Daphnia pulex: one gene and its partners. The protein of the gene in region 1 purifies or fractionates together with the protein of each later gene. This does not show direct contact. Links are inferred from orthologs where the notes say so. Each region holds a gene or a part of one and is shown in the gene's direction. Other genes may lie near its edges.

What was found. The genes of interacting proteins can lie anywhere in the genome.
Region 2: the proteins of mediator of RNA polymerase II transcription subunit 4-like (region 1) and synaptosomal-associated protein 29-like purify together in Homo sapiens (affinity purification with mass spectrometry; 3 studies listed by BioGRID and IntAct, with this or other methods). This does not show direct contact. The link is inferred for Daphnia pulex from reciprocal best matches to the Homo sapiens genes MED4 and SNAP29.
Region 3: the proteins of mediator of RNA polymerase II transcription subunit 4-like (region 1) and DNA-directed RNA polymerase II subunit RPB2 purify together in Homo sapiens (affinity purification with mass spectrometry; 3 studies listed by BioGRID and IntAct, with this or other methods). This does not show direct contact. The link is inferred for Daphnia pulex from reciprocal best matches to the Homo sapiens genes MED4 and POLR2B.

The regions. Positions count from the first base shown.
Region 1 is NC_060026.1:12,376,682-12,379,872, reverse strand, and holds mediator of RNA polymerase II transcription subunit 4-like, read left to right. Parts: upstream 1-1,167; 5' UTR 1,168-1,291; coding exon 1,292-1,359; intron 1,360-1,652; coding exon 1,653-1,767; intron 1,768-1,823; coding exon 1,824-1,943; intron 1,944-2,002; coding exon 2,003-2,174; intron 2,175-2,235; coding exon 2,236-2,537; 3' UTR 2,538-2,683; downstream 2,684-3,191. Other genes in the region: beta carbonic anhydrase 1-like, read right to left, coding at 2,884-3,007, 3,069-3,154. UniProt on the Homo sapiens protein: Component of the Mediator complex, a coactivator involved in the regulated transcription of nearly all RNA polymerase II-dependent genes.
Region 2 is NC_060025.1:1,294,143-1,297,271, forward strand, and holds synaptosomal-associated protein 29-like, read left to right. Parts: upstream 1-1,324; 5' UTR 1,325-1,443; coding exon 1,444-1,764; exon of another isoform or gene 1,765-1,836; coding exon 1,837-1,938; exon of another isoform or gene 1,939-2,007; coding exon 2,008-2,433; 3' UTR 2,434-2,629; downstream 2,630-3,129. Other genes in the region: TBC1 domain family member 10A-like, read right to left, coding at 9-223, 294-390, 467-948. UniProt on the Homo sapiens protein: SNAREs, soluble N-ethylmaleimide-sensitive factor-attachment protein receptors, are essential proteins for fusion of cellular membranes.
Region 3 is NC_060022.1:1,081,130-1,085,209, forward strand, and holds the start of DNA-directed RNA polymerase II subunit RPB2, read left to right. Parts: upstream 1-1,280; 5' UTR 1,281-1,431; coding exon 1,432-1,450; intron 1,451-1,514; coding exon 1,515-3,000; intron 3,001-3,071; coding exon 3,072-3,618; intron 3,619-3,695; coding exon 3,696-4,080. Other genes in the region: kunitz-type protease inhibitor 1-like, read left to right, coding at 560-617, 711-1,012. UniProt on the Homo sapiens protein: Catalytic core component of RNA polymerase II (Pol II), a DNA-dependent RNA polymerase which synthesizes mRNA precursors and many functional non-coding RNAs using the four ribonucleoside triphosphates as substrates.

The DNA.
Region 1 (3,191 bases):
CTAAACGAGTAAATGTTAGTGGGTTGGAGAATTTTCGAGCAATAAACGTCAACAAATCAACCACTGCAGAAGACACTAGGTAGGTTAGTAACGAAAACGGTTGCCAGATGGCTGTAAAAGCACTCTTGTACGTACTAAAATCTGCTTTCTTGTAAAAAAAATACATTGCGCGGCGCCTGATTACGCATTCAACATTGAAAAATGTTTATTGGTTACAAAAAGCCAGAGTTATAGCTCTGCAAAAAGCGTCAAAGCAAAAATTTCCTCGATTTAAATTAGTGTCGTCCATTTTCATTCAGTTTGAAATCTCCAACGTAACTCGGCTTTTCTACGCCGTTAGCGTACATGGCAACATCATACTTGATTCGATATGGTTTATTGGAACCTTGATTGTAAAATAAGGAAACAGTGATACGAGCTTCTACTTGTTTTCCGGGGTAAAATTTTTCAGAATCCTCAATCATCTTGCGGACTTCAAATTCGAAAGATTTGTAGGCACTGTTGTTGAAATTTTTGTGCATGGGGACGAGATTATTTACGTCCGATCCCGATCCTCCAAGCATTTTGGCAATGATATGCCCGGCATGATAGTCTCCTTCTATACCTAGTTGTTTTTTCTGCTCATTGTTTATGGACACTGTACTTCCATTTCCAAAATTTTCCGACCGAACAACCGCATAAACTTTGCGATACTCGTTCTTCTTCTCCAACCTTAACTTTGACAGACTTGTCATTCGACATTCTTGTAGACAGGAACTGAACCAAGAATCTGTAACACAAAATGTGTTTTAAAGTCCTCATAACTGGAGATTCTAAAGTCGAATTGCTGGACTATATACTCACCCAAGCAAACAAATGAATGTCTTTTCACTCTTTCCGGAGTTTGTTTTTGAGAAATTGCTCGGAAAACTTTGGGCGGGTCAGACGATCAAGAGCGGAACAGCGGATTCCTGCTGTCTGTTTATGTTTACGAAATTCGATTCATAAATCGTCGCCAGTGTTGCATTATTATACACTTCAAACATATCTCATTACTATTATATTTTTTAGTTTCTTTTAACGAAATCACGTTGTAGAGCGGTGATTCGACTCCGAATGAATCCATAAATAAAGGATAAGGAAATTTAAAAAAATACGTGGTCAGGTTAAATCTAGATATGGCAACCTCACTTCTCTAGTTGTTGTTGCAGCCGTAGCCGAGCCGCATTCAAGAAAAACTAATTTTGATTGGAAAGTTTCACTTACCTGTTTTTATAACTATTTCTATAAAAAGGAATAAAAATAACTAGACATGACTTCTCAAAAAAGTACCAGAGAAGTATTGCTTACTTGCATCGACGATATCGAAATCATCGCAAAGTAAGTTTTTCTTGATTTGGCTGCCTTTGTTCGTCGACTATTTTGATCACGTAGTGCAATTGTTCTTCCTTCAAAATTTTTTTAATGAAAGTTAAAGCCTCAGATCTATCTATTGTTCATTAGCATGATATATTTATTTATCTTATTAGGTAATCATACCATTGTTTACCTGAAATTCAGAACACTTTGTCACACTCGTTTGTATCATACACTGTTTTGAATTTGATTATTGAATTTTAATCTTCCAAAATATAATTGTCACTGTACTAAACTTAATCTTTTTAATTTATTAGGGAACTTTTGGACAACTTAATAGCCCAGAAGCAGCAGAAACCTATGAGTACTGAACACTCTCAACTTGTTGAATTGGTTCTTCAAAAAGACACTGATCTTAAGGCAACACTTAAGGTAAAATTATTTGTTTTTCATAATTTTTTTCAATGCTAATTCTTTCTTTTATTAAGTTGGCTGAAGAACAAGGTGTATTACAACAAAAAGTAGTTGCCTTAGAGACAGAAGTTGAAAGGCATGATGTTGAGATTCGAAATCTTCAAAAGCAGCTTAAGGAGGCAGAGCAGCTATTAGTAAGCTATTTTTAATTATTTTGTTGGTTTTAGTATTTCATAAACTTACTCTTTTTCAGGCTACTGCAATCTTTCAAGCTAAGCAAAAGTTGCAATCAATCACACGGGCGAATAACAGACCTGTAAATTCCGAAGAGTTGATAAAATTTGCTCACAGAATATCGGCTTCCAACGCTGTTTGTGCTCCTTTGAATTGGCAGCAAGGAGATTTACGCAGACCATATCCCACGGGTAGAAATTTTTTTTTAAATTGCTGTCCAGTAGTTTCATGTTGTTTTGTGGTGGTTTTCAGATATTGAAATGCGGCTAGGATTTTTGGGCCGTCTTGGTGAAATGAATGTCAATGGACACATGAGTTTTCCAGAACTTTTGCATCGTCCTAATCATTCTTTGCAGCAGGGGTCTTCAGTTCCGAATTCTCAAGCAGGCACTTATAGTTGGTTATCTCAAAATGACCTGCAAATGCCCTGTTTGTCAGTTTCACACTTGGGTGTGAGTGGTGGAATGGATCACAAAAATCCCAAGAAAGAGAATGAAGATGTCGACGTTATGTCTACGGACTCGAGTAGCAGTTCATCTTCCGATTCTCAGTAAACACGTGAGCTAACAATTTACACTCTGTATCCTGCGCGATTGCTTAATATTGTTGGTAACCATCCTGTATACTATTCTACTTTCGCATTTCTTTTTGAAAACCTTCCTCATTCAAAGGTTCGTAAAATAGATAAATATTTGTGCAATTCCTTTTTCGAATTGTTCAAATTCTTTTCCATTATAAAGTTATGCAACAATTTATTTTATAGTTAACTTCTCACTATTTACAAAATAGCTTTAGAATCGAACTCCCCATATAAATTCAGGAGATGTGCGTCATCTCTATAAAAATACCTAGATTTCCATATATTCTTCAGCATAATAACCCGAGGCACGTCGGTTAAGGTCACACAAAGTATTCGCGTATTTCATCGAGCAAATAATCGGATGTCTCTTCGCTTATCTCCACAAACCGTTTTTGCTTGCGGCTAAAGACGTAGATGTCTCCGGTATAGATGTCGAACCATAACCTAGTATCATAAATTTCAACATTAAACACTTACGAGTAAACGTTTGATACATGATACATACGCGTGAAGGTGTACTCGCCCCGAATTTATGGCACTTTGAATGAAGCTATAACTGGCAATATGCTGTAGTTGTTGCAATGTGTTGAGCTGAAAAAAGATAACCCAATTAGATTTGTAGACATTA
Region 2 (3,129 bases), on another chromosome or scaffold:
TTAATTACCCAGGTCCATTGGAATCGGCAAACATCTCGTGCATGGGGAATTGTCGATGTAAATCTTTTCGGATGTCATCCAGCCATTTGGGATCTCCGGGCTGAGCGAGTAGATCGTCGAACACGCCTTTATTCTTTTCCATTAGAACACCACCGCCGCACAAATATTGCCACGCTCTGGGACGGATAGAACTGGGTATTCCTTTCCTACACCTGTCTCTTACCTGTTGATTACAAATAATTGGGTGTTAATAGAAACATGAAAGACAAGAAAAATAAAAGATATTGCCAAACCTTTTTGTATTTGTATGTCATATACTTTTCCCAATCATCTAACATGTTTAACCACTTCAGCTCTCTTTTGCGAAAAATGGCAATCATTGCTGGGTTTCTAAATTGAATTCAAAATAAGCAAATACAATAGTGTTAAACTAATAGGGGATTCAAGGGAAACAAATAAAACTTACATTTCAGTGTCATGACTGAACTGAGATCCTCCAAAGAAACCATATCTGTCGGGGACTGTTGATGCTATTGATCCACCATAAATAACACTGCTGACATCATCATCAACATCGGTTTGATTAAGGGAACCATTCATTGATTGGTTCTTTGTAAGAAGCTGTCTTTCCTGAGATTGGAACTGGGCAATGTCAGGAGCTGATAACACTGCATCATCAACTCCAAGGATCTCTCTGCTGAGCCTGTTTTGTCGTTTTGCTAGCTTCCTATCTCCACTAGGACCCTGTTCACATGAAGGCTGACGGTAGACTGATTCAGAACTAAAGGGTTCTAAATCAATCATATTGATTCGTTCAAGTCTTTCAAGACTTTTTCGAAATGTACGTCTTTCCACAGTTGTTGCACTGCCATCATGGGCTGTTTCGACGTTGCGAAGGAACGGAGATGTTATCACTTGAAGTGATAATGGCTCGTGACGAGTGGCCATTGATTATTTCAAATATTTCGCAATTATTTTATCAGGAAATAAGGCACTCATGATACTGACACGTTCTAAGGACAGTTGCGTGACTTCACACGTAGATATTTTGATCACGGGAAAACAAGTGAAGTAAGTAAGAAGGGCTGCTATGACGAGAAAGAGGTGGGCTGTTCCCTCAGCCTGGTGAAGCCTCGCAACATTCCTTAAATTAGCTAATTTTATTAAATATTACTGATTCATATGAATGAATAATAATAGAGAATTATTTTTTGAAATTTTTAAATGAACTTAAAAATAATAATATGTTTTAATTGATTTGATTTATGTTACTTACAATTTTATTAAATCATTACTTTTGTCGTCGCTAGAGGGAAGACATCAAACCTTGGTTACGACTCTCGGCAGTCTCTTTAAAGGCCTTGACAGCTTCGGAGGGCATGCGAAAGTGAGTGAGCAACAAATAATACATACAAGGAAAAGTGTATTAGTGTCGAAAAAACTATGGCTGGATCCAGTGGGCGTTACGTCAAGTCTAAAGGTTCAAATCCATTTTTTGACGATGAAGACGACGTGGACGACGAAGAATTTCTACAAAGGGCACCCAATAGGTTCAATAACTTTGGAGGAAAATTAGCCAATAGTTTGTCGGGCGGAAATAACAGTTTCCAACCTCTGGACGGAGGAGAAAATCAGAGCGCCGATGAACGTAGACGACAACTTCTTATGGAGAAACAGAAAATAGAAGAACGTACTTTGCAGGCTTCAGGGCGAGCTAAAGGAATGTTGTATGAGACTGAGCAGATTGGAATCTCCACCGCTGAGGTTTGCACATAAGCTTACATTAGAAAACCACTTAAAACTTGATTCATTTTCCCCTTGAAAATACCCAACCAGGACTTGGTAAGGCAGAGGGAACAGTTAGAGAGAACTGGGAGCCGACTGGATGAAATGAATAATTCATTGAGGACTTCAGAGAGACACATACAGAATATCAAGGTAGTCTATCTATATTTTATAGCATTGGTTGGTTGTTTTTTCCTTAACACAGATTTCATTGATTTTTAGAGTGTGTTTAGCAGTATGAAGAACTACTTTTCTAAGCCTTCAGAGCCACTCAAAAACTCTTCTGAAGGGTCTTTGTTAAAGCCTAGTTCCAGTAGTAGTAGTAGCAATCTTTCCAAGGTACTTGAGCAAACATCATCACCGATTGACCGAGACTCACCATCACAGCAACAGCACCCAGCATTGAGGATTAAAGGACTTGAAAATGATTTTAGTCACAAACCTCTTTCCAATGTCGACGAGCAGCTAGAGCAAGATCTGGGTGACATGAGTTTGTCCCTGTCCCGTCTGAAAGGTCTCGCCCAGGGATTGTCGACTGAACTGGAAGATCAGAACACGTTGATCGATCGGTTGCAGACTGGTGCCGACAAGGCTGACTGGAGAATCCAGCGTCAAAATAAAGATATGGAACGTCTTCTGAAAAAGTGAAAACCCCACGAGTCCATGTTGTTTCCAACTTGTGATACACAAAGAATTAGAATTGAATGAAGAAAAAAAAACTCTTTTTGTTTTAAATAAGAAAATCTGTCCCCCTCTTTTTGCGCACCAAGGTAAATTGCCAGCACACTCCCAGTGTGTATATATATTATATATTCATGGAATAATACATTTAGGTGAAACACGGTCTGATAAAAAGAAAGAAAAAAATGATTATTTGCATGAATTCAATTGGGGATAAGTTTACTAGGTATTTTATTAGTATATGAAAATTTTTTCCTGAGAGTGTTTAATCATCCGCAAGGAATTTTGCAGATGTTGTGGAAAGATGAGCGGACGTGGTGATCGTGTTATTGCCTGTTTCACGATTCGATGATCATGAGAACGAAACGAGCCGGACGGTATGAATGGCAATTTTTTTTTTCGTTTTGAGAAACTTGTTTTAGTTGACAAGAACATATCCACACAATGTCCTGATGGGCCAGCTTGTCTTTGCGGATGTCTGCACCAGCTGTTATTACGGTTCATTTGTTGATTTTAGCCGCACACTAAATTGCCATTGTCTTCGTTTGGCGACTGTTTTCTGTTTCCGTTTTACAACAGAAGACCATTGGTCGGAGTTCCAGTTCATACAAACCGCAAACGTAGCACCTTGAAATGTGGAAAAAGGGGAATTGGCCGCACATT
Region 3 (4,080 bases), on another chromosome or scaffold:
TTAGAATACATTTTTTCAGTTTTAATATAATCAAGTTGGTTTACAATTAAAATTTAATTTAATTCAATAAATGAATCAAATCAATATAAATTATACAAATAAAACGGAAAACATAAAATTCGAAGCCAATTCGAATTCTCTCTATAATTCCGAGCTTATGTTTAAGTAAGTACATTTGAAATTCTGATATAAAGAGCCCGGAGCTAAATAAATAATTGTGCAATCATGTCGTGCATATATTTTTCAAAGGAAGACAATGATCAAGATGATGAACTGTACAAACCGGTTATCGATATGTGTGTGTTTAATTCTTTTGCGATGCGCGCTTTTCTCTTTTCTCTTCCTTTAGGGGTGAATGATTAAGCGGTTATTTTTATTTTGGTTACATCGCGAAAGGTCAAATTCATGTTTTTTCCAGCTATAATGCCCGATTGCAGGGCTGTAATTATCTCTAGCGGGACTATAAGTACCAGCCGGTCGACTCCTTCCTTCTTCAGTCGAAAGCAGAAGAAGGTTTTTCCCATTTGCTCCATTCAACTCCATAAACTTCAACCGGAAAATGTCGGCTACGTTCGTCGTTATGCTCTGCCTCGTCGCTTTCTCCTCTGCTGCTCCTCGTAAGTGATTTTTTAAATCTAAAATTTTAGTTTTATGTAACATGGGCTTTTTCAAGCAATGCTCTTTTACGATTTATGAATATATTTGAATAGAATTGGCGGTCCCAGTACCGGTATTTGCTCAACGACCATTGGATCCGGTTTGTCTCTTGCCACCACTCAACCCCAAAGTGCGTTGCAATCAATTTTCCATCAAGTGGTACTACGACTCTGCTACCAGGGATTGTGAAAAGATTTTCTACACTGGCTGTGGAGGATCTGAAAATCTATTCGCCAGCGAAGACCTTTGCGAATTGCGCTGTGATCAAGATAATTTCGACAGCTACGAGAGCGTTGAGGACTTCCAGCAATATCCCTCGTTGCAGAAATTCAGATATTTCGTTCTTGGCAAGTAATCAATTGATGTAAAATGCTTTTCTCTAGCACAACGTTGTTATTCTTTTATTTTAAAAAGTAATTTAAAGAATTGTTCTTACATTGATCACATGGATTGTCTTTCAATGTAATCTATATTATTCAGTTAAAATTAATTTTGAATACACTTCTTATTTACTCACACAATACGAGTTGTTTCGTGTTTTAAAGAAAATATTTTTTTACCGACTTTTAAATAAACCGGCGAAATTAAAATATATCCGGCAACGCCACCTTGCGTCTCATTTTCGATTTGGCCGGCAGATGTCGAAATTGAGTTTTTCCGACAAGTGCGACAACAGTGAACGAAAGTCGACTGCCGGCTGCAAAGGCCAACGAATCTTTACATTGCAGTCGTTTTCTAATTCATAATTAATTTGTCGATTCGTATAATAACACAATGTACGATCAAGACGAAGGTAACATCAAAATATGATGATATTCATACATTTTTTTCTCATTCTAACGTGTCTTTTACTTAAGATCCGATCGAGGATGAAGATGGCGAGGAAATCTCTTCAGAGCTTTGGCAAGAAGCCTGTTGGATTGTCATCAACGCATATTTCGATGAAAAAGGTCTTGTGCGACAACAGCTTGATTCGTTTGATGAATTTATTCAGATGTCTGTACAAAGAATTGTTGAAGATTCACCTGCCATTGACCTTCAGGCAGAAGCCCAGCATTCTTCGGGGGAAGTAGAAAACCCTCCGAGATATGTCCTAAAATTTGAGCAGATTTACCTCTCGAAACCTACACATTGGGAGAAAGATGGTGCTCCGACAGCCATGATGCCTAATGAAGCAAGACTAAGAAATCTCACCTACTCTGCCCCGTTGTATGTTGATATCACGAAAACTGTGCACAAAGAAGGGGAAGAGCAGGTCGAGACACAGCATCAGAAAACATTCATTGGCAAAATTCCTATCATGTTGAGATCCACTTATTGCCTGCTGAATGGAATGAATGATCGTGATTTGTGTGAATTGAATGAATGCCCTCTCGATCCTGGTGGATATTTTATCATCAACGGCTCAGAAAAAGTATTGATTGCTCAAGAGAAGATGGCCACAAATACAGTGTATGTCTTCAGCATGAAGGACGGCAAATTCGCTTACAAGACAGAAATTCGTTCCTGCTTGGAACACTCGTCACGTCCAACCTCCACCTTGTACGTCAACATGTTGGCACGTGGTGGTCAGGGCATCAAGAAATCCGCCATCGGCCAGCGTATCATTGCCATTCTGCCCTACATTAAGCAAGAAATTCCCATTATGATTGTGTTCCGAGCCTTAGGTTTCGTGGCCGATCGAGATATTCTCGAGCACATCATCTACGACTTTGAAGACCCCGAAATGATGGAAATGGTGAAACCTTCGCTGGACGAAGCCTTCGTCATCCAGGAGCAGAATGTTGCCTTGAATTTCATCGGTGCTCGCGGTGCCAGGCCTGGTGTCACCAAAGAGAAGCGTATCAAGTACGCCCGTGAGATTCTCCAAAAGGAAATGTTGCCTCACGTTGGTGTGTCCGACTTTTGCGAGACGAAGAAAGCCTATTTCCTCGGCTACATGGTCCATCGCTTGCTGCTGGCTGCCTTGGGACGCCGTGAGCTGGACGATCGTGATCACTACGGCAACAAACGTCTGGATCTCGCCGGACCGTTGATGGCTTTCCTCTTCCGAGCCCTTTTCAAAACTCTCATGAAAGAAGTCCGAATGTACGCACAGAAATTCATCGATCGAGGAAAAGATTTCAATTTGGAACTGGCCATTAAGACCCGCATCATCACCGACGGACTCCGTTACTCGTTGGCCACAGGAAATTGGGGAGACCAGAAAAAAGCCCATCAGGCCCGCGCTGGTGTCTCTCAGGTGTTGAACCGATTGACTTTCGCTTCGACCTTGTCACATTTGCGTCGCCTCAATTCGCCCATTGGTCGTGACGGTAAACTGGCCAAACCTCGTCAGCTCCAGTAAGTCATTGATTTCAAATTATTTTCATCGGCTTTTGTTTATTACATAACATTTTTTAAAACTATTTTAGCAACACGCTGTGGGGAATGGTTTGTCCAGCCGAAACGCCCGAAGGAGCTGCTGTCGGTCTCGTCAAGAATTTGGCTTTGATGGCCTACATTTCAGTCGGTTCCCAACCGTCGCCCATCCTCGAGTTTTTGGAAGAGTGGTCCATGGAGAACTTGGAAGAAATCGCTCCGTCTGCCATTGCGGATGCCACCAAGATTTTCGTCAACGGTTGCTGGGTGGGTATCCATCGCGACCCGGAGCAGTTGATGGCCACCCTGCGCAAACTGCGTCGTCAGATGGACATTATCGTGTCTGAAGTATCGATGGTGCGCGACATCCAGGACCGTGAAATTCGAATTTACACGGACGCCGGCCGTATTTGTCGTCCATTGTTGATCGTCGAGAACTGCAAATTGTTGCTGAAGAAGCGCCACGTTGACATGCTCAAACAGCGCGAGTACATCAATTTCAGCTGGCAGGAACTGGTGGCCACTGGTGTAGTCGAGTACATTGACACTTTGGAGGAGGAGACGGCCATGATTGCCATGTCGCCCGAGGACTTGCGCCAGGTAAATTTTCTGCATTGATTTTTTCTTTCCCTACCCCACCCCATCCAGCCGTTGAATGTTTTGCTTTGTTTATCCAGGGTAAAGACGCCTACTGTACGACGTACACGCATTGCGAGATTCATCCGGCCATGATTTTGGGAGTTTGCGCCTCGATTATTCCGTTTCCCGATCACAACCAGTCGCCTCGTAACACTTACCAAAGCGCCATGGGTAAACAAGCCATGGGAGTGTACATTACTAACTTCCACGTCCGGATGGACACTCTGGCCCACGTCCTGCAGTACCCTCAGAAACCTTTGGTCACGACACGCTCCATGGAGTACCTGCGCTTCAGAGAGTTGCCCGCCGGCATCAATTCGATTGTTGCCATTCTCAGCTACACCGGATACAACCAGGAGGATTCCGTCATCATAAACGCTTCCGCCGTCGAACGAGGATTCTTCCGCTCCGTCTTTTTCCGAT